Linked DNA regions of Lepisosteus oculatus. The protein of the gene in region 1 purifies or fractionates together with the protein of each later gene. This does not show direct contact. Links are inferred from orthologs where the notes say so. Each region holds a gene or a part of one and is shown in the gene's direction. Other genes may lie near its edges.

Region 1 (12,146 bases):
ACCCCATTACCTCTCCCTCCTGCCCCCCAGCTTCCTTCTCCCCGCCCTCCCTGGTCCCCTGCTCCGGCGCACCCCTGCCTCTCAGCCAGGGCTCCCCCAGAAACCTCTCGGCCTCGCCGGGCAGCCCCCTGCGTCTGGGGTCGGGGTTCAGCAGCTCGCGGAAGAGGGCCAGAGCCAGAGGCGTGAAGCCGACGAACTGCGGGGGGACGATTTCGATTTCGGGGTCCCCCCGCCGCCGGCCCCGCTCCCCCCCCACCTCCGTCGCAGGGAGGCCCCCGACTGGGGTGGAGCTGTCGGCCCGTTTCTCCGCCGCTGACGGGTTGTAAAATCGGCCCCCCGGGGACGCCCTCTCCCTGCCCCCCCCCTCCTCGGCCTCGAACCAGCGGCGGTAGCGCCGGTACAGGGGGTCCGAGGCGCAGGTCTGCTCCCAGGGAAAGCAGCCAGTCAGCAGACAGTACACCAGCACCCCCAGAGCCCAGCTGTCGACGGTGGGCTCCGCCGTCGCCCACTCCTTCTTCGCCCTCGTCTTCCTCCTCCCTTCCTCTTCCTCTCTCGCGCCCTCTGCCGGCGGCGCGGCGCCCGGCCCCGTCTCGGCCTCAGCCTCTTCCGTGTCCTTTTCCGGCAGGGAGGATCTGGGATCCTCGTTCCCTCTCGCGCCCCCTCTGCCCCTGTCCCCGCCTCTCCCTCTCGCCATTGGCCGGTCTCCGCCCCGCCCCTCCTCCGGCTCCGCCCCCTCCCCTCTCCTCCTGCATCTCATTGGGCGGCCACGCCCCCTCCCGCCCGCTGCCCCCTCCTCTGGCCCGGCCTCGCCGCTCAGTTCGGGGGCACAGTAAGGGGAAGGGTGGGCCGTCCTCATGAACTTCGACCCCCGGGGGCGGGCCAGGCCAAAGTCGCCGAGCTTGACCAGGCGGCACTCGGGCCCGTCGCACAGGAAGACGTTCTCGGGCTTGACGTCCCGGTGGACGAAGCCCAGGGCGTGGAGGTAGGCCAGGGCCTGGGCCAGCTGGGACAGGACGCGCTGGGCGCACTCCTCCTGCACCCCGACCTGCGGGAGGGACGGGAGATGGGGGGTTCAGTGAAGGGGGGCGCCCCGGGGACGGCTCGCCGCGGGGCCGCGGGGAGGCGAGCGCGGGGGACGCACCTCGGGGACGATGATGTCGTACAGGTCCCCGAACAGCGCTGCCTGCTGGGCGAAGACGTAGAGGCGCGGCGTGGTGAACACGATGCCCAGCGCGCCCGCCAGGCAGGGGTGGGAGCAGAGCCGCAGGGACAGGCAGTACTCCCGCAGGAACACCGGCAGGGGCGTGGAGCTCCGCGGGAACAGCTTCAGAGCCATGGGGGTCCCTGAGACACCACACAGGGTCAATACAGCAACAAGCTGACCAGCTGGACACTGACTGACCAACTGGACACTACAGCACAGTGACCCTGACTGACTGGACACTACAGCACAGAGACCCTGACTGACTGACTGGACACTACAGCACAGAGACACTGACTGACTGGACACTACAGCACAGTGACCCTGACTGACTGACTGGACACTACAGCACAGAGACACTGACTGACTGGACACTACAGCACAGTGACCCTGACTGGACACAGCTCACCTCTCTGCCTGTGAATGGCCAGCATGACCTTCCCGTATGACCCCTGACCCAGCTGCTTCACGACCCGGAAGTGATCCGCTATCTCCAGCGATGCCATGGACTGGGCAGTGAGCTGGCACAGCTCCTCCAGTTTGTCTGCAGCTGACTGAGGAAGAGGAGGAGGACGAAGAGCGAGAGGCCGGTGAGAAAGAGCGCCCCCTCGTTTTCTGAAGGCTTAGCGGGGGAATTGCAGCTCAGCCAATAGTTACTGGAACCCGCAAAAATGTACTGAAAATGAACGAAAGGAAAAAGACTTACTGACATTGTGAAGAGTCTTCAGACAACCATGGGCACCGGATCAGAGCCTGTCTGTCTCTCTCTCCTGTCTGTGTATGTGCCTGACTCTCTCTGTGTCTGCCTGTCTGTTTCTCTTGTCTCTATGAAACTAGTTGTTTACTGAATTTGAAGACACAGATCTGTGTCTGTATTTATTTCTGTTTTTTCCCAATTCCCCCGTCTACACGCCTAACTCTCTCCCCGATCAGACTGTCCCTCTCTCTGTCCCTGCTCTGTCTGAGACTGTCTGTCCCTGTCCTTTCTCTGAGAATCTATGTCCCTCTTCTTTCTCTGAGACTCACTGTCCCTGCTCAGTCTGAGACTCTCTGTCCCTGCTCTGTCTCTGAGACTCTCTGTCCCTGCTCTGTCTGAGACTCTCTGTCCCTGCTCAGTCTGAGACTCTCTGTCCCTGCTCTGTCTGAGACTCTCTGTCCCTGCTCTGTCTGAGACTCTCTGTCCCTGCTCAGTCTGAGACTCTCTGTCCCTGCTCAGTCTGAGACTCTCTGTCCCTGCTCTGTCTCTGAGACTCTCTGTCCCTGCTCTGTCTCTGAGACTCTCTGTCCCTGCTCAGTCTGAGACTCTCTGTCCCTGCTCTGTCTCTGAGACTCTCTGTCCCTGCTCAGTCTGAGACTCTCTATCCCTGCTCTGTCTCTGAGACTCTCTGTCCCTGCTCAGTCTGAGACTCTCTGTCCCTGCTCTGTCTGAGACTCTCTGTCCCTGCCCTGTCTCCTGGACTCTGTCTCTCTCTCTCTGCAGCTGTGAGGCTGTGCTCTCTCCCTCTGGCTCTGCAGTCTCTCTGTCAGCAGCCGCTGGCTGTGAGCTGTCGCGTGCCCCAGCCTCTCTCTCCTCGGCTCGCCGGAGATATTGTCCGGCTCTGTCCCTCCTGCCGGAGCCCCTGTCAGCCAGCCTGAGGGATTGAGCTGTGTTTCAATCAGCAGGAGCAGGGAATCTTAATTAGATAACAACATGTGCTAATTAACATGCTTGGGTGACACGAGTGTGTGTCATATTTCACCCTCTCCACCACACGCCCCCCTCTCTCTCCGCTGGCTCTCGGAGTGCTGTTTGTGTGTGATAATGCCCACTCTGACTCAAAGTGCCTCTCTCTCCCTGCCCCCCCGATCTCTCCCTGCCCCCCCGATCTCTCTCTCTCTGCCCCCCCGATCTCTCGCTCTCTGCACCCCCGATCTCTCCCTGCCCCCTGATCTCTCTCTCTCCGCCCCCCCTAATCTTTCTCCCTGTCCCCCTGATCCTTCTCTCTCTGCCCCCTGATCTCTCTCCCTGTCCCCCTGATCTCTCTCCCTGTCCCCCCGATCCCTCAGACCCTGGCCCCCGATCTCTCTCTCTCTGCCCCCCCTAATCTTTCTCCCTGCCCCCCTGATCTCTCTCTCTCTGCCCCCCGATCTCTATCCCTGCCCCCTGATCCTTCTCTCTCTGCCCCCCCAATCTCTCCCTGCCCCCCTGATCTCTCAGCCCCCCGATCTCTCTCCCTGTCCCCCCGATCTCTCTCCCTGGCCCCCCGATCTCTCTCCCTGGCCCCCCGATCTCTCTCCCTGCCCCCCTCGCCCCCCCGATCTTTCAGCACAGCGTTACTCGTTGACAGCCGTAACAGCTGGGGGCCTCTGCCAGCCATCGCCATGCCAACACAACACATGAGGTCATCTCTCTCCGACATCGCCATGCCAACACAACACATGAGGTCATCTGCCCCCGACATCGCCATGCCAACACAACACACGAGGTCCTCTCAGCGCCTCCGCGGCCCCGCTAGCGCTCCCCGGAGGAGCAGGCGAGGCAGCAGGCGCTTGGCGGGAATGACTGCTGGGACAGACGCTCCGCTTGCACAGCGAGGCTCCGGCTGGGACCGGGAACCTCTTCATGGACAGAAAGGCTCCAGCTGGACGCTCTGCTTCTCGCTCTCGGCAGCCAGCCTGCAGCCTGGAGACACATCCCATCAGTCAGCAGGATCGCCGCAGTGATGAGAAGGTTTCAGACTCCAGGTGTGTGTGTGTATACAGTGTGTCCAGTAAGAGTCTGGACTCCAGGTGTGTGTGTGTGTATACAGTGTGTCCAGTAAGAGTCTGGACTCCAGGTGTGTGTGTGTATACAGTGTGTCCAGTAAGAGTCTGGACTCCAGGTGTGTGTGTGTGTACAGTGTGTCCAGTAAGAGTCTGGACTCCAGGTGTGTGTGTGTGTGTATACAGTGTGTCCAGTAAGAGTCTGGACTCCAGGTGTGTGTGTGTGTATACAGTGTGTCCAGTAAGAGTCCGGACTCCAGGTGTGTGTGTGTGTATACAGTGTGTCCAGTAAGAGTCTGGACTCCAGGTGTGTGTGTGTGAGTATACAGTGTGTCCAGTAAGAGTCCGGACTCCAGGTGTGTGTGTGTGTATACAGTGTGTCCAGTAAGAGTCTGGACTCCAGGTGTGTGTGTGTGTGTATACAGTGTGTCCAGTAAGAGTCTGGACTCCAGGTGTGTGTGTGTGTATATACAGTGTGTCCAGTAAGAGTCTGGACTCCAGGTGTGTGTGTGTATACAGTGTGTCCAGTAAGAGTCTGGACTCCAGGTGTGTGTGTGTGTGTATACAGTGTGTCCAGTAAGAGTCTGGACTCCAGGTGTGTGTGTGTGTATATACAGTGTGTCCAGTAAGAGTCTGGACTCCAGGTGTGTGTGTGTGTATACAGTGTGTCCAGTAAGAGTCCGGACTCCAGGTGTGTGTGTGTGTATACAGTGTGTCCAGTAAGAGTCTGGACTCCAGGTGTGTGTGTGTGAGTATACAGTGTGTCCAGTAAGAGTCCGGACTCCAGGTGTGTGTGTGTGTATACAGTGTGTCCAGTAAGAGTCTGGACTCCAGGTGTGTGTGGGTGTGTATACAGTGTGTCCAGTAAGAGTCTGGACTCCAGGTGTGTTTGTGTGTATACAGTGTGTCCAGTAAGAGTCTGGACTCCAGGTGTGTGTGTGTATACAGTGTGTCCAGTAAGAGTCTGGACTCCAGGTGTGTGTGTATATACAGTGTGTCCAGTAAGAGTCTGGACTCCAGGTGTGTGTGTGTATACAGTGTGTCCAATAAGAGTCTGGACTCCAGGTGTGTGTGTGTATACAGTGTGTCCAGTAAGAGTCTGGACTACAGGTGTGTGTGTGTATACAGTGTGTCCAATAAGAGTCTGGACTCCAGGTGTGTGTGTGTATACAGTGTGTCCAGTAAGAGTCTGGACTCCAGGTGTGTGTGTATACAGTGTGTCCAGTAAGAGTCTGGACTCCAGGTGTGTGTGTGTATATACAGTGTGTCCAGTAAGAGTCTGGACTCCAGGTGTGTGTGTGTATACAGTGTGTCCAGTAAGAGTCTGGACTCCTGGTGTGTGTGTATACAGTGTGTCCAGTAAGAGACTGGACTCCAGGTGTGTGTGTATACAGTGTGTTCAGTGAGAGTCTGGACTCCAGGTGTGTGTGTGTGTATACAGTGTGTCCAGTAAGAGTCTGGATTCCAGGTGTGTGTGTGTGTATACAGTGTGTCCAGTAAGAGTCTGGACTCCTGGTGTGTGTGTGTGTATACAGTGTGTCCAGTAAGAGTCTGGACTCCAGGTGTGTGTGTGTATACAGTGTGTCCAGTAAGAGTCTGGACTCCAGGTGTGTGTGTGTATACAGTGTGTCCAGTAAGAGTCTGGACTCCAGGTGTGTGTGTGTGTATATATACAGTGTGTCCAGTAAGAGTCTGGACTCCAGGTGTGTGTGTGTGTGTATACAGTGTGTCCAGTAAGAGTCTGGACTCCAGGCGTGTGTGTGTGTATACAGTGTGTCCAGTAAGAGTCTGGACTCCAGGTGTGTGTGTGTGTGTATACAGTGTGTCCAGTAAGAGTCTGGACTCCAGGTGTGTGTTTATACAGTGTGTCCAGTTAGAGTCTGGACTCCAGGTGTGTGTGTGTGTATACAGTGTGTCCAGTAAGAGTCTGGACTCCAGGTGTGTGTTTATACAGTGTGTCCAGTAAGAGTCTGGACTCCAGGTGTGTGTGTGTGTATACAGTGTGTTCAGTAAGACTCTGGGCTCCAGGTGTGTTTATACAGTGCCTCTAGTGGTGGCTTTTGTGAATAACAGTTGCACTTAAAACAGACCATCTTTTACTTTGTAACTCTTCTGTGTATCAGTTTTGTAAATGAAAAATTCTCCATAAGAAGGCATATTGTCTTTATTGTTAAACTCATGGTTTCCCTCAAACAGTTAGCTGTTTTAAAACAAGTAAACTCTCTCCATGTCAATGTTTTCTGATTCATGGTTGTGTTCGGTATGGCAACAGTCTATAATCTAATAGTATAATCTAGTAGTGTATTGTAAGTAATACATGAGCCCTGCAGACTGTTCCATAGATAGGAATTGGAAGTATATGGTTGTATGTTACTTGAACATCCTTGAATTGTACCTGATAAACATTGCATTATTATAAACACTACCCAGTTTATGCTCCACCTGTATCAGGCAGGGTGTATACAGTGTGTCCAATAAGTGCAGGGTGTAGCCTGCTGTACATCGACCCTCTCGTTATCAGTTAAATACTTCAGCATACTTCAGTTTACAGCACACGAGTGCAATGTCAATAATATGCAGCATAAGAGCTAGCTGATCTCTACACTACAGTATAAGAGCTCACTGATCTCTACACTACACAGTATAAGAGCTAACTTACAGTATAAGAGCCAGCTAATGTTTATACTAAACAGTATACGAGATCCCTGATATCTTAACGATTCAGTTTTAGAGCCAGCCGATGTCAGGATGATGCAGTATAAGGGCTACAGGATCTCTGCATTATACAGCACAAGAGCTACAAGTTGTCTATATTATTCAATGTAAGAGCTAGCTCATGTGCGTCCTGTGCAGTCTAAGAGCAAGCTGGTGTGTACGATCTACAGCAGAGGAGCTCTTAGATGGCAGAAGCATGTCTGCCCTACACGGTGATCTACGCGTCCACCCCTCCCTGGGCAGCCGGCCCCGCCCACCCGGGGGGCACGTGAGGCAGGGGGCGGAAGCGGAAGCGGAAGTGGCGCCATCTTGCCGTTCCCAGCGAAGTGGGGCTTGGAAGGGTCAGTTCCGATCCGAGCCGCGATAAAAGCAGAGCGGCGGCGCTTGCCCGGGGTGTCAGCGATCAGGCCGCACGGCAGCGGGGACCGCTGGGCTCCGTCACGCCCGAGGGGAGAGGAGTGGATGTCGCGTCCCGCCCGTCCCGCCGCCCCCCTGTGGATCTTCTCGCTCCTGACGCGCGGCTCCATGGCGCAGCGCGGCTGAGGCGCCCGGCGGGGACAGGTAAGCGGGCGCGGGGGTGTCGGGGGGCGCCCTGCTCCGTCACCGTGCGGGAGAGGGGGGCAGAGACTCGGGGAGGTGGGGGCGGCAATGGGCGCGCGTGCGTGTGCGTGCCTCGGCGCGAGGGAGCCGCTGGGCGCGTGCACGTGTCAGGGCGAGAGACTCTCCGGTCATGGGGCTTTTGGGAAATCGGTCCATCCCCGCCCCGATTCGGGAAGCAGTGTTTTGGGGTGCCGGGGCTTCCCAGCAGAGACGCCTGCAGGGTCACAGGGGCGTCCTGTCTGATCGTGCAGGATCGGCACACAGATCCGGGATTGTAACAACACCGTCACACCTGGAGCGGATCAGACTGCTGCACACTGGGACTGTAACAACACTGTCACACCTGGAGTGGATCAGACTGTTACACACTGGGACTGTAACAACACCGTCACACCTGGAGCGGATCAGACTGCTGCACACTGGGACTGTAACAACACTGTCACACCTGGAGCGGATCAGACTGCTGCACACTGGGACTGTAACAACACTAACACCTGGAGCGGATCAGACTGCTGCGCACTGGGACTGAAACAACACCGCCACACCTGGAGCGGATCAGACTGCTACACACTGGGACTGTAACAACACCGTCACACCTGGAGCGGATCAGACTGCTACACACTGGGACTGAAACAACACCGGGACACCTGGAGCGGATCAGACTGCTGCGCACTGGGACTGTAACAACACCGGGACACCTGGAGCGGATCAGACTGCTGCACACTGGGACTGTAACAACACCGTCACACCTGGAGCGGATCAGACTGCTGCACACTGGGACTGTAACAACACCGCCACACCTGGAGCGGATCAGACTGCTGCACACTGGGACTGTAACAACACCGTCACACCTGGAGCGGATCAGACTGCTGCGCACTGGGACTGAAACAACACTAACACCTGGAGCGGATCAGACTGCTGCGCACTGGGACTGAAACAACACCGCCACACCTGGAGCGGATCAGACTGCTGCGCACTGGGACTGTAACAACACCGCCACACCTGGAGCGGATCAGACTGCTGCGCACTGGGACTGTAACAACACCGCCACACCTGGAGCGGATCAGACTGCTGCGCACTGGGACTGTAACAACACCGTCACACCTGGAGCGGATGAGACTGCTGCCCACTGGGACTGTAACAACACCGTCACACCTGGAGCGGATGAGACTGCTGCCCACTGGGACTGTAACAACACCGTCACACCTGGAGCGGATCAGACTGCTGCCCACTGGGACTGTAACAACACCGTCACACTTGGAGCGGATCAGACTGGTGCACACTGGGACTGTAACAACACCGTCACACTTGGAGCGGATCAGACTGCTGCCCACTGGGACTGTAACAACACCGTCACACCTGGAGCGGATCAGACTGCTGCCCACTGGGACTGTAACAACACCGTCACACCTGGAGCGGATCAGACTGGTGCCCACTGGGACTGTAACAACACCGTCACACCTGGAGCGGATCAGACTGGTGCACACTGGGACTGTAACAACACCGTCACACCTGGAGCGGATCAGACTGCTGCGCACTGGGACTGTAACAACACCGTCACACTTGGAGCGGATCAGACTGCTGCGCACTGGGACTGGAACAACACCGTCACACCTGGAGCGGATCAGACTGCTGCGCACTGGGACTGGAACAACACCGTCACACCTGGAGCGGATCAGACTGCTGCGCACTGGGACTGGAACAACACCGTCACACCTGGAGCGGATCAGACTGCTGCGCACTGGGATTGGAACAACACCGTCACACCTGGAGCGGATCAGACTGCTGCGCACTGGGACTGGAACAACACTGCAACACCTGGAGCGGATCAGACTGCTGCCCACTGGGACTGTAGGGCTGTGAAGCTGGAGAGGATCAGACTGCGGTGCAGTGGGTGGGTCGGTGTGGGTCTGGACGCTGTGCACCTCGCACTCTTGACCTGCTCTGCCCACAGTGTGAGGCTCAGGGCTCTAACTGTCACTGGGGCCTAGGCTGGCAGTGCCGGGGGGTGGGAACTACATTTCCCAGAATTTTGTAGTCCCAAACGATGGTGCGGCGCTGAATGCGGTTCCCTTCCCCTGCAGGGTTTGGTGACTTCAATTGCTTGGTTCCGGGACCAATGTCGTCGAGGCGAGAGGCCGGCAGACAGGGACACAGCGATCCGTAAACGCGTGGAGAGAGAGAGAGAGAGCGAGCGAGACAGACTGCGAGCTTCGACTTTCACAGGTGAGGATCCCCCTGACGGGAGCGGAGGAGAGAGGGAATTCACCCCCTGCGTGTCCCTGTGTGTGTGTGTGTGTCCAGGTCTCTGTCTCAGCCTGCGTCTCTCTTTAGACAGAGGCAAGGACAGACGGACAGGTGGTTGCCATGTCGACCTCATCGCTACGGCGACAAGTGAAAAACATTGTGCACAACTACTCTGAGGCCGAGATCAAGGTGAGTCTGTCTCCGTGGCGACGGTGTGGGTGGGTCAGGGGTGGGCAAAGGGGTGTGTTAGTCAGTGGCTGGGCGGTGGTGTGCCCTGGCGGTCAGGGTCTCAGCGGGGGTTCGGGTCAGCGGGTGGGTCAGTCAAGGGCTCAGTGGTTGGATCGTTCAGGGGTCAGTTGGTCAGTCGGGGTCTCAGCAGGGGGGCCAGTCAGGGGGGCAGCGGACAGGAGCTGACGTGGCACCGCCCCCCCTCCTCTCGCAGGTGCGCGAGGCGACCTCCAACGACCCCTGGGGCCCCTCCAGCTCCCTGATGTCGGAGATCGCCGACCTGACCTACAACGTGGTGGCCTTCTCGGAGATCATGAGCATGGTTTGGAAGAGGCTCAACGACCACGGCAAGAACTGGCGCCACGTCTACAAGGTGAGCAGTGTTGGGGTCCCCCCACCGGCACGGCCGCCACGCGCAGAGGGATGGGGCCAGTTCAGAGAGGGGGGTTATTAGGAGGCCGTGACGGGTAAAGACCAGGGGGAAATTTGACCAGGACACTGGGGTAACACCCCTACTCCTCTCGAGAGACGCCCCAGGATTGTTCATGACCACAGAGAGTCAGGACCTCGGTTTGACGTCTCATCCGAAGGACGGCGCCTGTTTCCAGTCTAGTGTCCCCGTCACTGTACTGGGTGAGCGCCCCCTGCTGGCCCCACTGACACCTCTCCCTGCAGCAGGCTGAGCTGTCCCAGGAGTCTCCCTGCAGGTCCTGGCCAGGCTCGCCCCGCTGGGCTCCGGGGGGGCGGTCTGGGTAGACATGAGCGAAGGGTCAGAGGTCACGGGGGCGGGGTCAGTGACGGGCCGCGCTCTCCCTCCGCCAGGCCATGACCCTGATGGAGTACCTGATCAAGACGGGCTCGGAGCGCGTGGCCCAGCAGTGCCGGGAGAACATCTACGCCGTGCAGACGCTGAAGGACTTCCAGTACGTGGACCGCGACGGCAAGGACCAGGGCGTGAACGTGCGCGAGAAGGCCAAGCAGCTGGTGGCGCTGCTCAAGGACGAGGAGCGCCTGCGCGAGGAGCGGGTCCACGCCCTCAAGACCAAGGAGAAGATGGCCCAGACCTCCAGCGGTGAGGGGACTACACGTCCCAGCATGCTCTCGGCAGCAGGCTCAGGCAGAGCCCTGCAGCATCTGGCCTGAGGCATGCTGGGAACTGTAGTTTTTGTGCACTCTTTTTCACTTAACTATATTCCGCATGAGGGTTGAGAGATGCAACTCCCAGATGGGTTCTGGTTCTTTCTTTGCGGGAGGCATACTGGGAGGAGTAGTTCGCTGGGCGAACTATGTCGCAAAGCAAAAAGTGTGGTGGCAGTAGTTTCTTGGGGAGCAGTTAGGGGGTCTGTTGTGGGGCATGCTGGGAGCTGTAGTTCGACAGACCGAATGGGAGTGTGGTTTAAGGACTGTACTGGGGAGTGAACCCCATTTCCCTCTCCCCTCTCTCTCAGCGCCTATGTTAACGCCTCCTTTTCTCCCCCAGCGTCCTCTGCTCCCTCTGCGCCAGGCCTTGGGGGCGGGCCCTCCCTGGGCCCCGCCCCCCCAGGCCCCGGAGGCGGGGCCGATCCCGAGCAGGCGTGGCCTCAGAGCTCGGGGGAGGAGGATCTGCAGCTCCAGCTGGCCCTGGCCATGAGCAAGGAGGAGGCCGAGCAGGTAGACTACACTTCCCATGGTGCTTTTCTGTGTCGGCGGGGTCACTGTCCCTTGGGTCTTCAGGCTTCCAGGACACCGAGACCTAACAAGGGAGTGCTGAATAAAGCATGCTGGGAGCTGTAGTTTTCGTGATGGCGTGTTCGGCAGAAGCAGGGCTATGGTTGACTGAGTTGCCTACAAATCCCATTATGCACTGAGCCTAAGTGCCACTTCAGGCTAAGGGTCCCTGCTGGGCACAGCTAGGAGGTGTAGTGAGATTTGAGACAGGGTGTTTGTGGGGCGTCAGTGAGAGCTGAGGTCTACCAAGCAGAATGTGTTGGGGACTATATTGTTGGCAGTTTTCACCGATCTGTTGGCACACTGCCGCCCGTGCTTCATGGTTTTGCCTGTCAGCACAGGCTTTTTCCTTGCAGATCAGGTCAATCCAAATGAAATGCCCTTCCCATGATGCCTTTCTTGGGCAGGGGGGCCTGGGAAGGGTGGGGCAGCAGCGGTGTTGGTAAGGGTGCTGGGAGCTGTAGTGAAGATGCCCCCCCTGGCCTCTGTCTGTGCAGTCGGGCCCCGCGTGTGGCCCCGAGGACACGCAGCTGGAGGTGGCTCTCTCCCTCGGCAGGGAGGAGCACCTGAAGGTCAGGGGTCAGGTCAGGGGTCGCGGAGAGAGTCCTGATGACACGCAGTCGCTTCCGCTGGGTCGCCCTGGACAGGGTCTTGCGAATCCTCAGTCAGGACCGTGCAGTGAAGCCGGCGCTGTCCCGCTGGTCTC
Region 2 (11,274 bases), on another chromosome or scaffold:
AAAATAAAGTGCTTTTTCAGCTTTTTCCTTGCAAAGCTTGTGACTATAAGAGATGCAGTTATTCTAAAGTCCCTATTATACCATCTTCTGCACAGCATTAGGGATGTACTGTATGTCATTCTGTGATACACTTTATGCAGATAACTACAATGCCACTGACTTTATTAAGAATACTATTCATACTAACTGCTCCATCAGCTTGTCTGTAGTTGCTTTTCTATCATGAAATCTTTGAAGTGCCTTTTGCTGATCCTGGTGAATAGCTTCTTCCTCCTGGTGCAGAATCTGAGCCATTATGTCTTTGTCCATGTCTTTAGTTGCATTCATCTTCTTCTGCTTCAGCTCGATCTGGGCTTCCCTCTCCTTCAGAATCTCAGTCAGCAAGAGAGCACTCTGAAAACAAAAATTAAAGGAAATTCTTTGATATGGAAATTGAACTGTACTTTCTACTTTCCTGAAAATAGCACAGACGTGGGACACAGATTTTAAACGGTTCTTTACAGTGACCCTTACAGTGTTCTGTGAATTGAGACAGAATCACATTGCATCACAACGTTCCTCTTTAAAAGCGAAATAATTCCCATTTTATCATATTTCCAACCCACCAAAGATAACCATATCCAGTCTCCACAGATGAGAAATACGTCATGGGGATAATTAATATACTGTAATATAAGCAGCAGAAGCAATGCAATTTTATACGGTTGTGCACCTCGCACGGCTAAAGATTCCACGAAGGAATGGCAAAAGAGAAAACACACATGAAATCTTTTCACTCGGTCCGTCTGGTAATACTGTTGGGACTTTGCTTTTTCAATGGCTTCCTTTCTCCTCTCAGCTTGGTACTGAGCCTCTTCCAAATCAATCTGCCTCTTCTCCTCTTCTTCAATTTCTTCTCGCAGTTTCTTGGCTTCAATCTTCTTTTGCCTTTGACCCTGCAAATCCGACCAATAAGCATAGGTGTTACGATAAAGCCTTCTTAAGAGCAAACTTTAAACTTCATATATTCCAGCAGATTTGAGGATACATCCAATGATACTGCACATCATTTCCAATTCTATAAATATGAGGCTGATATTCCTACTCCAGCAGTTTGGGGAACATGAGGATACACATAAGAAGAGGCATATTTAGCCCTCTTGATTGTTTTGTGCTGTAATTCCTCTCACATCCATCCAATACAGGGCTCGTGGGGCAGCTGAAGCCTAACCTGGCAAGCAACAGGCACAAGACAGGACACACCCTGGATGTGCTGCCAGTCCATTGCAGGGCAAACACACACAGACAATTTTTTTCCAGGCCAATTTGTCCCAGAAGCCAATTAACTTAGCAGTATGGTATGGATTTGGACTGTGGGAGGAAACCCAAGTGAATACAAACTCCACAAAGACAGCAGCCCAGCAGGAACTGAACCCAGGGTCTCAGCACTGTAGGGCCACAATGCTAAATCACTGAGGGGTGTCACTTCTTGTAAGCAGATCACAATAAAGACACACGTCAGGTGACTCACAGCAATGGTATTAGACCAGTTTTTCACCACTTCTTTGGAGCGCTGGTGCAGAGCCTCTCGCTCCTTCTTCCTCTCCTGGATCAGTTCCAGCTCCCTGTTCACGCTGTGGAGGCTGTCTTGAATCCTGAGCCACTCCGCTTTGGGCAAAACCTTGACTTGGCGGAGATCCGGGAGACGCACGGGCAGATCTGCCCCATCTCTTGTACCCAGTGCTAGAGTCAAATGATAGGAAGGCTGTCAGATGCCAAGATTTTACTTACCTTCCTGTACAACGTTTACATGTTCACAACATGAATAGGAAATTGTATGAACTGATATTCATGCTTCTCAAGAGTCAGGAAACTTTTTTTTTTAATTCGTGTGAAAAAAATATAAGACAGACAGGCATCTTAACCTTTTCAGAAGTAGAAATACTGATCTGCAGTAGAAGCAGACTGAATTGGTTAGCTGAAAATAATCTTTTAACTCACATGTGACATTTTTGTCACTCCCTTTTCGCCTGCCGTACTGCACAACAGACGCGGAAACTGTCGCCATTCTACAACAGGTTTTGTCTCAGTTTTTTGACAACTTTAACCATTTCCCGAGAATACACCTGCATTAAAAACAAAAAACACAGACGAAAGCCAACTACTAACACCTTACACGGCGACCTAGCAACTGAAGACCTAATGCATTGATGACAATGTGTCGCTAGGCAACGAAGTCATAACCCAATCAGGATAAAGTCGCAGGAACAAAGGTGGAGCTATAAGACCTGGCTATAGTCACGTGAATTACTTCACCGGAAGTTTTCTGCATCCGGGTTTCCATAAACCTTGACCTACAATAAAGTAAACGTGACCAATCAGAGTGCAGAACATGTGAAAGAACCAGTGACGAATGCAACCGGCGAGCTCTTTGAGAGAAAGGTGTAGTGCGGTGATAAGCAGTATAGATGCTGCTTTAAACTGGTAATTATCGTTTTCTGTTTACTTCGAGAAACTCATTCTAAATTCCTTTATGTATCTCTTTATGGGGTTGTTTCCTAAAACCTAGCGATGTGATTTTCAAATGCTCGGGGTGTTGTCGGGGTGACACGATTAGAATGTCACGCGTTACACAACAATGTTATTTGTAGATGGAAAATAGCTTTCATTTGGGTGCGAATATTTTCAGATCTCTAGCACTGTGCTTAGAAACGTGTCAGATCGGCATGATCGCTAAAAGTGCTGAAGCATTAATGTTTTTTGATCTGTCGCCAGGTGAAAAGCTGTACTCATGGTGCCTTTATCTATATTTAGAACACTGTGTACAGATCAGGTGATATATAGGGCATAGATTTTCAAATCAAAGCAGGTCATGAAATTCTATAATATTGTATTTTTTAATGCACCCCCCAACGCATTTGCACCAAGACTTACGTTTGATTTCTGTTTTGGGAACAGGACTCTTCTCGCTTCTCGCTTCTCAGTCTGCAGCGGACGATGAAAGCTCTTGTAGTGTTCGACTTCGACCACACGGTGGTGGACGACAATAGTGACACTTGGGTGGTCAGGTGCGTGCCGGAGCAACGCCTGCCGGACTGGCTGGTAAAAACCTACCAAAAAGGTCGCTGGACTGAATACATGGGTCGGGTGTTGTCTTACATCGGTGACCTGGGTGTCAGCGAGGCGGAAATGAGGAGTCTGATGGAAACTATCCCTTTCACACACGGGATGATGGAAGTTCTTAGCTTCGTTGCTCAAAACAAAGACGCCATCGACTGCATCATCATTTCAGATTCCAACACCGTGTTCATCGACTGGATTTTACGGGCGTCCAACGTCCAGGGGGCGGTGGACAGGGTCTTCACCAACCCCGCCTGGTTCGACGAGCGCGGCCGCCTGGCGGTGCGGTGCTTCCACTCGCACGGCTGCGCGCACTGCCCGGTGAACCTGTGCAAAAGAAAAGCGCTGGAGGACTTTCTGGCGAGCCAGCTGCGCGAAGGTGTGCGGTACCGGCGCACGGTTTACGCTGGCGACGGCGGGAATGACCTCTGTCCCGCGAAGAGCCTGACGGAAGGGGACACCGTTATGCCACGAAAGGGCTACACGCTGGACAAACAGCTGGCCGCCAACGCGCGGACCCCGAGCGTCCTGAAAGCGCAAGTCGTGGTCTGGTCCAGCGGGCTTGACATCCTCAAGGAAATCAGTTCCTCTGTGAAATAGTCCTGCCATCACGCTGCTTCATTCTTTACCCCTGATGGTTGTGCCGTCGTTGATGCCGGTGGTGTTTTTTTGTTTTAACATTTGAACGTGTCACGGAAATGTCCCTAGTTGCGTTTCTGATCCCCCTGGCACTTGGCTATGGAGAACTTATTTGGTTACGCATGTACATGACATATTTACATTTCATCACATTTAGATCAGTATTAAATACAGCAACAATGCTGTACTGTTAATCTTGCAAACGAATTGAAAATCGTGTATTAACTCTCATACAGACTAGGGACGAAAGCCACGCTTCAAAGTGTATTTTGAAAGGCACACAAGTTGATCTTTTAATGAATTACAGTATAATTGTATGTTTTTCAAAATAAACAGTGCATTACGTCTTTCGTCATTGTTTTTTTTTCTCCAGTTTTCTTAGAAGTATATTTAATAAGATTTTTCCCAACTGTACAGGGTTTCCTTGTGGCGCAAATAACCAAGTGACCAATACCTGCAGAAGAATTCATAATTTAGAGTCTTCAGTGTCCCAGTTAGTGATGAGATTGCACTCAAGTGTGCGAGTGGATATAAAAGTCAAGGGAAAATTCCACAAGGGTCTTTATTTTATGTGCTCTAAAATCTTAAGAAGCACCAACAAAAGATTGATAATTGGTTAAGATGTAAATTGTAAAACATATTTAAGTGGACAAATATTCAGAAAACCCTTTAAAATGCCATTCACAATACCCTGCTTTGTTTTAACACTGAAGGTACTTATAGAGGTGATTGTAGAAGGCATCTTGAAGATCACACAGTTACATATGTGGTGCAGAGGCAGAGACATTCAAGAGAGACTTAAAATATTTTCCATTCCTTGCACTCATCTTCAGCATTTCACAGGTATGACTGCTTAGTTATGAGTCCCCCCTGTTTAGTTTGGACATTAGGTTTGTTACTCCAAAATGTGCTATGCACCGCAGACAAATGTGTTCTTTCTGCTTGCCTTAAAGAAAATGAAATTACCAGTCATGTGCCATTGGAATTGAATGCACATGGAGGGCATGTGCCTTTTGTAACGTCTGACGAAGGTTTCTTTCATCCATTCTTCACTGCACTTGGCCTCGTAGTACAAAGTATCTTTTTATTTTGTACCTGGAATTGCACTTTTTTTGTGACTCCTTGTTGTAGTGCTGGTATATGACTGTGTTGTGACTATATACCTGTAGTACATCAGCCAGAGTTGCACTTTAAAGTTATGTTGTTTTCCCCTATATACCTGAATTTGACAGAATTGTGGAACCAGATCTTGAACTAATGAGTTTGATGGAGTTCAAGTAGGTGGCTGCGTCAGCATGTGTAGGCTGCAAAGGAACAAGTAAAGGTTTTTTTTTTCCATGCTGAAAAGAGAAGAAAATAAAGACAATGTTTTTGCCACACACTTGAAGAAGGCTCCAGAGCCAAAACGTATTTCTTTTCTTCTCTTTTCAGCATGGAATAGAATTTTACTTGTTCCTAATGAGTTTAATTGCTTTCCTCGTGTTGCACACCATAGATAATTTTATTTGATGTTCTATTTATGTTTCTATATGGTACTGTTGTTCATTTGGTCCAGTAACCCCTGATCCCCTTTTGTGCACATATGTTGATTACCTTTGGTTGAATAAATGAAATTACTCTCACATGGGAATTCTTGTTTTCCTTCTTAGTACTCTTATGTCTCTGTGGCTATGCTAAGCTAAACCCCTGTATATATTCTAAACTCCTAATGTCATTGAGGGACAGAATCTTTATGTTCTTTAAGAAAGTTTACAAATAGAAGGAGATCATTCAGCTCATCTGGCCAAATTTGGTAGCTCATTGATCCGAGTGTCTCATACAGCTCTTTCTTGAAAGAGGCCAGGGTAAGGGCATCTATTACATGGCTGGGCAACCTACAGTAAGTCATCAACAGAAGATCTTTCAAAAGTGCTAACTGGAGCCCCAGTGCAGTCAGTCTTATAGGTCACCTGTTTTTAAAAGCTGGGATCACCAGTGAACTATCGACAAATCGAGCACGCGCTGTAATCTGAGAACTCTGGTCCTCAAGGGCTAAAGACTTTAGGCCTAAACGATCTCTTATTTTTTCACATCAGCCATTTTAAGCGCTTCGAGAAGCCACCTTTGAAGACGCTACATAAAGTGTATATTTATTTAGTTGATCAAGCTGATCCTCCTCCTCTCCACTCTTTCCCACTCCATCCACTGCCCCTTCTCGGCCTGAGAGACAGCCCTGGGGCACCTGGAGGCCTCCTCCTGATAGCACCCTTCTTTTACGACCAGACTCCATTGTGACGATGGTGAAGACTTGTGCCAGGCGAATCTTTTAGCTCTTAGACCTAAGCCCCCCTCTTCCCTGCTGTGTTTGCCCCACGATGTCCTTGTGCCTAGGGGGTGCCGTTGCCTGCACACGGTCCCATTGCTGATGTGGGTGCTGCATTCTTTATCACATCCCTCAACTCCGTCGGCATCACCCCATTTGTCATTTGTTGCATCAGTATTCCTCTGTGAAGCTGGGGAGTGGTAATTTAAGCACTCAGTTCCCACAGAGCCCTGTGCTGCTTTCTCATATAAAACACTAGTTAGACCTGACCTGACTTGTGATAGTGTTTAGTTGTGCAACCACATCACGGTCCCGGTCTGACCAGAATAATGCAGCAGACCAAAGCACTGGAATGTATCACAACGGCGTCGCGAATGATCAAGTCATGAAAACGACGCCAGAGACATTTAGTCAATTAATGTACGTTTTATTTTTTTTCTAAAAACAACTCATGCGTAGCGGAGTACTATGGAAATACACGGTATAGAGTGTACATGTACAGTATAGGAGGGTCAAAATCGCTTGAAAAAAAAGATTTTTAAAACAATGCAAAAGGGGAGCAATTGAAATTACAACTTAAGTTCAAACAAAATGCTATTAATGACGAATTCCCCAAAACGTCCCCGAGTTGTTGTTTTTTTTTTGGGAAAACTCACATCTTTGGCTTTGCTCCAGCAGAAGCTTGAAGAGGCGGGGCTGTTCACAGTCATAAGGGGGCAGTCCGTGCTTGAAATGTAAAAAGAACTGGGACAATTCTGAAGGTCCCCCTTCTCCGCATCAAGTTACAGAAAGAGTCCATTCATTTGTGAAGCCTTGTCTCTCCAGCTCTGACGGTGCTGCAAAATGGCTCTTGTGTCCATCCAACGGCTTTTAATTAGCGAGAGTGTCGATCCATGTTGCAAACAGATTTTGCAAGAAAATGGAATTGATGTGACAGCGAAACAGAATATGAGCAAGGAGGAACTGATCGCTGAAATCAAGGTAGGAGCAGAATGAAATCTCAAGGGTGCGTGGCATCCCGGCATGTAATGCAAGACCGGGAGTACATTTTGTTTTGTTTTAATGCAAATATATTTATTCACGAAGCTCAATTCATCTTAATAAATTATTGATTTATTATTGAACGTGTCTGTTTTAAGACAACGAAAAATAACCAAATCGTGTGTTTTGGGGATGTATTAATAAAAAGAATTAGAGGTAAAATTTACTTTTCTAATACCGATGACCAAGTTTTGAAAAATGACGCAACGGATTTGCTCCGGCTGTTGTCGTGAATTTGGCACTGTTGGATTCCCAATTCAAGTCCCAAAGCTCTTTTTATAAAGTTAATTCCAAGTTGCTAGGAAGCGCCGCCTTCATCATGTTTTCTGATGCAACAGCACCTGTGTGTTTCAGCTCCCTAAACTCTGGTCATGCCACATTTGTAACAGTAATGCAAAAGATTTTTAACAGTAATACAAAATATTTTATACGCTATTTTTTTTATTTTCAATGTTTGCTTTAAGGTTTTACAGTATAATAAAAAATAATTACAATCTTTCTAAACTACAGTTAGATTAGTTTTTATTTTTGTACTTCGTTAATGTTAATGTATACCAATTAATTCTGGATTGTTATAAATCATAAAATGGCTTTGCAAAGTTTTGCATTTTTAATGCAGTGCTCTGTTAATTAAGGCACTAATTAACAGTTTTTAGCTGTGATTGGAGCCACTATTGGCACCGTTGACGGTGACCGTTATGTTGCGCTCAGTGGTTTCGCGTCAGGTGATTGGTTTGGCTTGACCACTGCAAAACTGTAAGGACATGTGTTGTTGGGGTTTTTTTGCGTGTGGGGGGTCTGCATAGGTGCACTAGACAGGTGATATGGTTACAAATGTGTTCAGTTGTTGAGTTTCAGCTGTATTTTGTAAATACAGTCTTGCTTTGTCAGGTGACTGTTCTACAGAAGGATCTACAGAACCAGATAGTGACTGAAATCCCCTCATCCAGCATCGGGGACTGTTTTTTTTATACACTCCATATTAAATCTCAACTTCTACTAGGTTCTGAATTCAAAATGATCACTTATTGCATTTTATTCTAAAGCAACGCTCACGGCAATGTTTAAAAGTTGTGCTCCTGGGATTTAATTAACCCAGACTTAATTAGGGTTACTGCAGTTTAAAGAATCTTAGAATTAGTGTTCTTTTTTTCATTACCTTGAACATGTTTTCTTTCTTCAGGACTATGAAGGGCTGATAGTTCGTTCGGCGACAAAAGTGACAGCAGAAGTCATCAACGCCGCGAGCAAACTGAAGATTATCGGCAGGGCTGGGACTGGTGTCGACAACGTGGACGTAGACGCTGCTACTAAGAAGGGCATTATTGTCATGAAGTAAGAAAAACATCTGTGTTAGCGCCGACTGCTACGTTTACTGCAATTTATGTAGAATACACGTCAGCTGCATGGTGATTTGGAAATACGCGTTTCTACGTTTGCTTGAGATAATTTGCCTTTCCTTTTCATTTAGTAGCATATGAAAATATTCCCTAATTTGTTCCTGATTTTTGTGAAATTCTATGCAATTTGAGTATGAGATATTTCACAATCCTGACTTGCTGTTTCTTCAGTACCCCTAGCGGAAACACCATCAGTGCTGCAGAACTCACCTGTGGGATGGTGATGTGTCTTTCCAGGTGAGACACACATGTGCTTTACCATATTTTCGTTTTTTTTGTAGTGCACAGCTTTGCTGAAGCAAAGTTGAATGCCTTATGTGGAACACTGGAGGACATTAAATGGACTTTCAAGAGTCCTTTGAATCCAGTATCCATTGATATAAATGAACAAACTTAAAGCATTTTCTTGCAGTATAAGGTATACATATCAAAAGGTAACTTAGAAATATTCCTTTTCCAGACACATCCCACAGGCAGCTATGTCCATGAAATCTGGGAACTGGGACCGTAAGAAGGTAAGCTTGGAATGACAGATTGAGATGAGATTGTTTTTCATGCAGAATGTTTTCTAATGCTTGGGCTCCCATGATACCCATTCAATCATGGGAGTTAGAACAGTTATAACAAGAGGAGGCCATTCAGCCATTCAGCCAATTTGGTAGCTGGTAGCTAACTGGTGCAAGAATCTCTTCTGGCTGTTTCTTGAAAGAAACCACATTCATTAACAACATGACTGGGCAACTTGTTCCACACTCCCACAACCCTTTGGGTAAAGCCGCGCCTCCTGTTCACAGTAAATGCAGGTAGTTTCTGCTTCTGTCCTCTGGTATGCATTTCACTGTTCACATTCAGCTGGACTGGCTTTGTCAGGGCCTCTGAGGATACTGAACACTTGTATCAGGTCTCCTTGTTGACTCCTTTGTTCAAGACTGTTCACTGTAGGACCATAAACTCCAGAATGTTTCTGGTTTGCTCTTCTTTGCACTGATTTCAGAGCAACAGTACTGCACCTTTTCTAAAATGTATTGACCAAAGTCGTACACTAACAGAGGCCTTACTAGTTTGATTACAATTTTAGACTTTTAAGAATATAGTCTTGCATTTTTTTTACCATTTTACTTGCTTTTACCACAGTGTCTAGAAGAATCACGTGAGGTGTCAGCATAACCTCCTGTTTTGTTCTCATAGGTTGCCTCTTCTAGCTCAGTATTTCCAACTGTGTATTTTTAGTTCGTGTTTAGAGTTCCTGGACCGTAGTGTCTTTGACGGGATTGTTGTGTTGTTGTGATATTTTCACAGTTTATGGGCTCCGAGCTGTATGGAAAAACCCTTGGAATTGTTGGCCTTGGAAGAATTGGAAAGGAAGTGGCCCTTCGAATGCAGTCTTTTGGCATGAAGGTCGATTTATTTTTTTAATCTGTTTTCGTGTGATATCCATTGTAGAGGCAAATGTACAGCTGCTGCTGCTTTTACAACATTGAAAGTGAAATGTAATGTGTTCTGGTACTGCGCGTAATGTTTTTTTCCCCCAAGTTTCGTTGTGATAGCTATCGCTTAAGAAGGGCTTGTTTTGAATTACCGCATTTTTGTGTCGGTAGACTGTTGGCTATGATCCCATCATTCCTCCAGAAGTTACTGCAACATTTGGAGTCGAGCAGATGTCCCTGGAGCAGCTGTGGCCTCTTTGTGACTATATCACAGTGCACACACCATTAATGCCTTCTACCACTGGTGAGTTTGTATGTAGATGATCCTATGTGCGCAACAGTGTCTGTCATTAAGGACAGAGAATTCTATGTTTGAAATGAATCCAACGTCTTTTGCTTTTCAATTCCTCTGAATCTTGCCTCAGTAACTGGCAAGTAAAATGATTTGTTTGAAGAGGGGCTAGAAAACGATTTAAAAACAAAATACGCTTCTCTGACAAGACGAGAACAATTAATTAGTTGGGTATATTTGTCCAAGAAGGAATAATCATTGTTGTTTTTTTCATATAATTCTGCTTTTTAAAGTATCAGGTTTTTTTCTTGCAGACATTCTCTTTCTTTTTAAAAAATGTAAATATTTAGAATTTACCCTAACTGATGAGCAGGTGATTTAAGTATGTGTGGAGATCTCTGTTTCAGTCTGCAGACATGGGATAAACAAAAGAGCGATGTGTGCTAAGATGAGGTGATTAACTGTTGTCTTCATTCACCCGAGGGCTCTTAAATGACACCACCTTTGCGAGGTGCAAGAAAGGTGTGAAGGTGGTTAACTGTGCCCGCGGGGGCATTATTGATGAAGGAGCCCTTTTGCGTGCCCTGGAGTCTGGCCAGTGTGGGGGTGCAGGCCTGGATGTGTTTGTGGACGTGAGTATCATACTGCAGTGCCATCAAGGGTCAAAACAGAGAAACTGGGACTGTTTCAGATAACAATAATAATAATGATTCCTTGCACTTATATAGCGCTCTTCTGGACACTCCACTCAAAGCGCTTTACTGGTAATGGGGACTCCCCTGATACCCCTAATTTTTCACAGAGAGGCTGGATGAGATCCTTGGACCAGTTAGCTGCTAACTACTTGAGTTTGTTTGGGCTAGGTGGTCCAAACAGCCTGCTCACAAACACAACATCTTATTATCTCATGAGTTTATATATCCAGATTTATTATATTTTCATTTGAAACATTGCAGTTTGACGTGATATAAGAATGTGAATCCCTACAGAATATATTAAACATCTTAAAATATTTGATTCTATTCATACCTACAGTGTTTTTATCTTTGTAATTCATTATCATTATTTGCTAAA

Evidence for each region.
Region 2: the proteins of epn1a (region 1) and phgdh purify together in Homo sapiens (affinity purification with mass spectrometry; 3 studies listed by BioGRID and IntAct, with this or other methods). This does not show direct contact. The link is inferred for Lepisosteus oculatus from reciprocal best matches to the Homo sapiens genes EPN1 and PHGDH.

What each region holds. Positions count from the first base shown.
Region 1 is NC_090718.1:1,391,719-1,403,864, forward strand, and holds the start of epn1a (epsin-1), read left to right. Parts: upstream 1-6,911; 5' UTR 6,912-7,219; intron 7,220-9,342; 5' UTR 9,343-9,484; intron 9,485-9,592; 5' UTR 9,593-9,625; coding exon 9,626-9,694; intron 9,695-9,947; coding exon 9,948-10,106; intron 10,107-10,555; coding exon 10,556-10,805; intron 10,806-11,213; coding exon 11,214-11,383; intron 11,384-12,146. Other genes in the region: uncharacterized serine/threonine-protein kinase SBK3, read right to left, coding at 1-1,045, 1,142-1,344, 1,611-1,755, 1,908-1,913. UniProt on the Homo sapiens protein: Binds to membranes enriched in phosphatidylinositol 4,5-bisphosphate (PtdIns(4,5)P2). Modifies membrane curvature and facilitates the formation of clathrin-coated invaginations. Regulates receptor-mediated endocytosis.
Region 2 is NC_090707.1:15,882,087-15,893,360, forward strand, and holds the start of phgdh (D-3-phosphoglycerate dehydrogenase), read left to right. Parts: upstream 1-6,356; 5' UTR 6,357-6,883; coding exon 6,884-7,021; intron 7,022-8,264; coding exon 8,265-8,416; intron 8,417-8,652; coding exon 8,653-8,718; intron 8,719-8,941; coding exon 8,942-8,996; intron 8,997-9,780; coding exon 9,781-9,879; intron 9,880-10,079; coding exon 10,080-10,212; intron 10,213-10,683; coding exon 10,684-10,832; intron 10,833-11,274. Other genes in the region: cfap210 (cilia- and flagella- associated protein 210), read right to left, coding at 188-393, 762-935, 1,511-1,722, 1,981-2,047; pyridoxal phosphate phosphatase PHOSPHO2, read left to right, coding at 2,977-3,699. UniProt on the Homo sapiens protein: Catalyzes the reversible oxidation of 3-phospho-D-glycerate to 3-phosphonooxypyruvate, the first step of the phosphorylated L-serine biosynthesis pathway.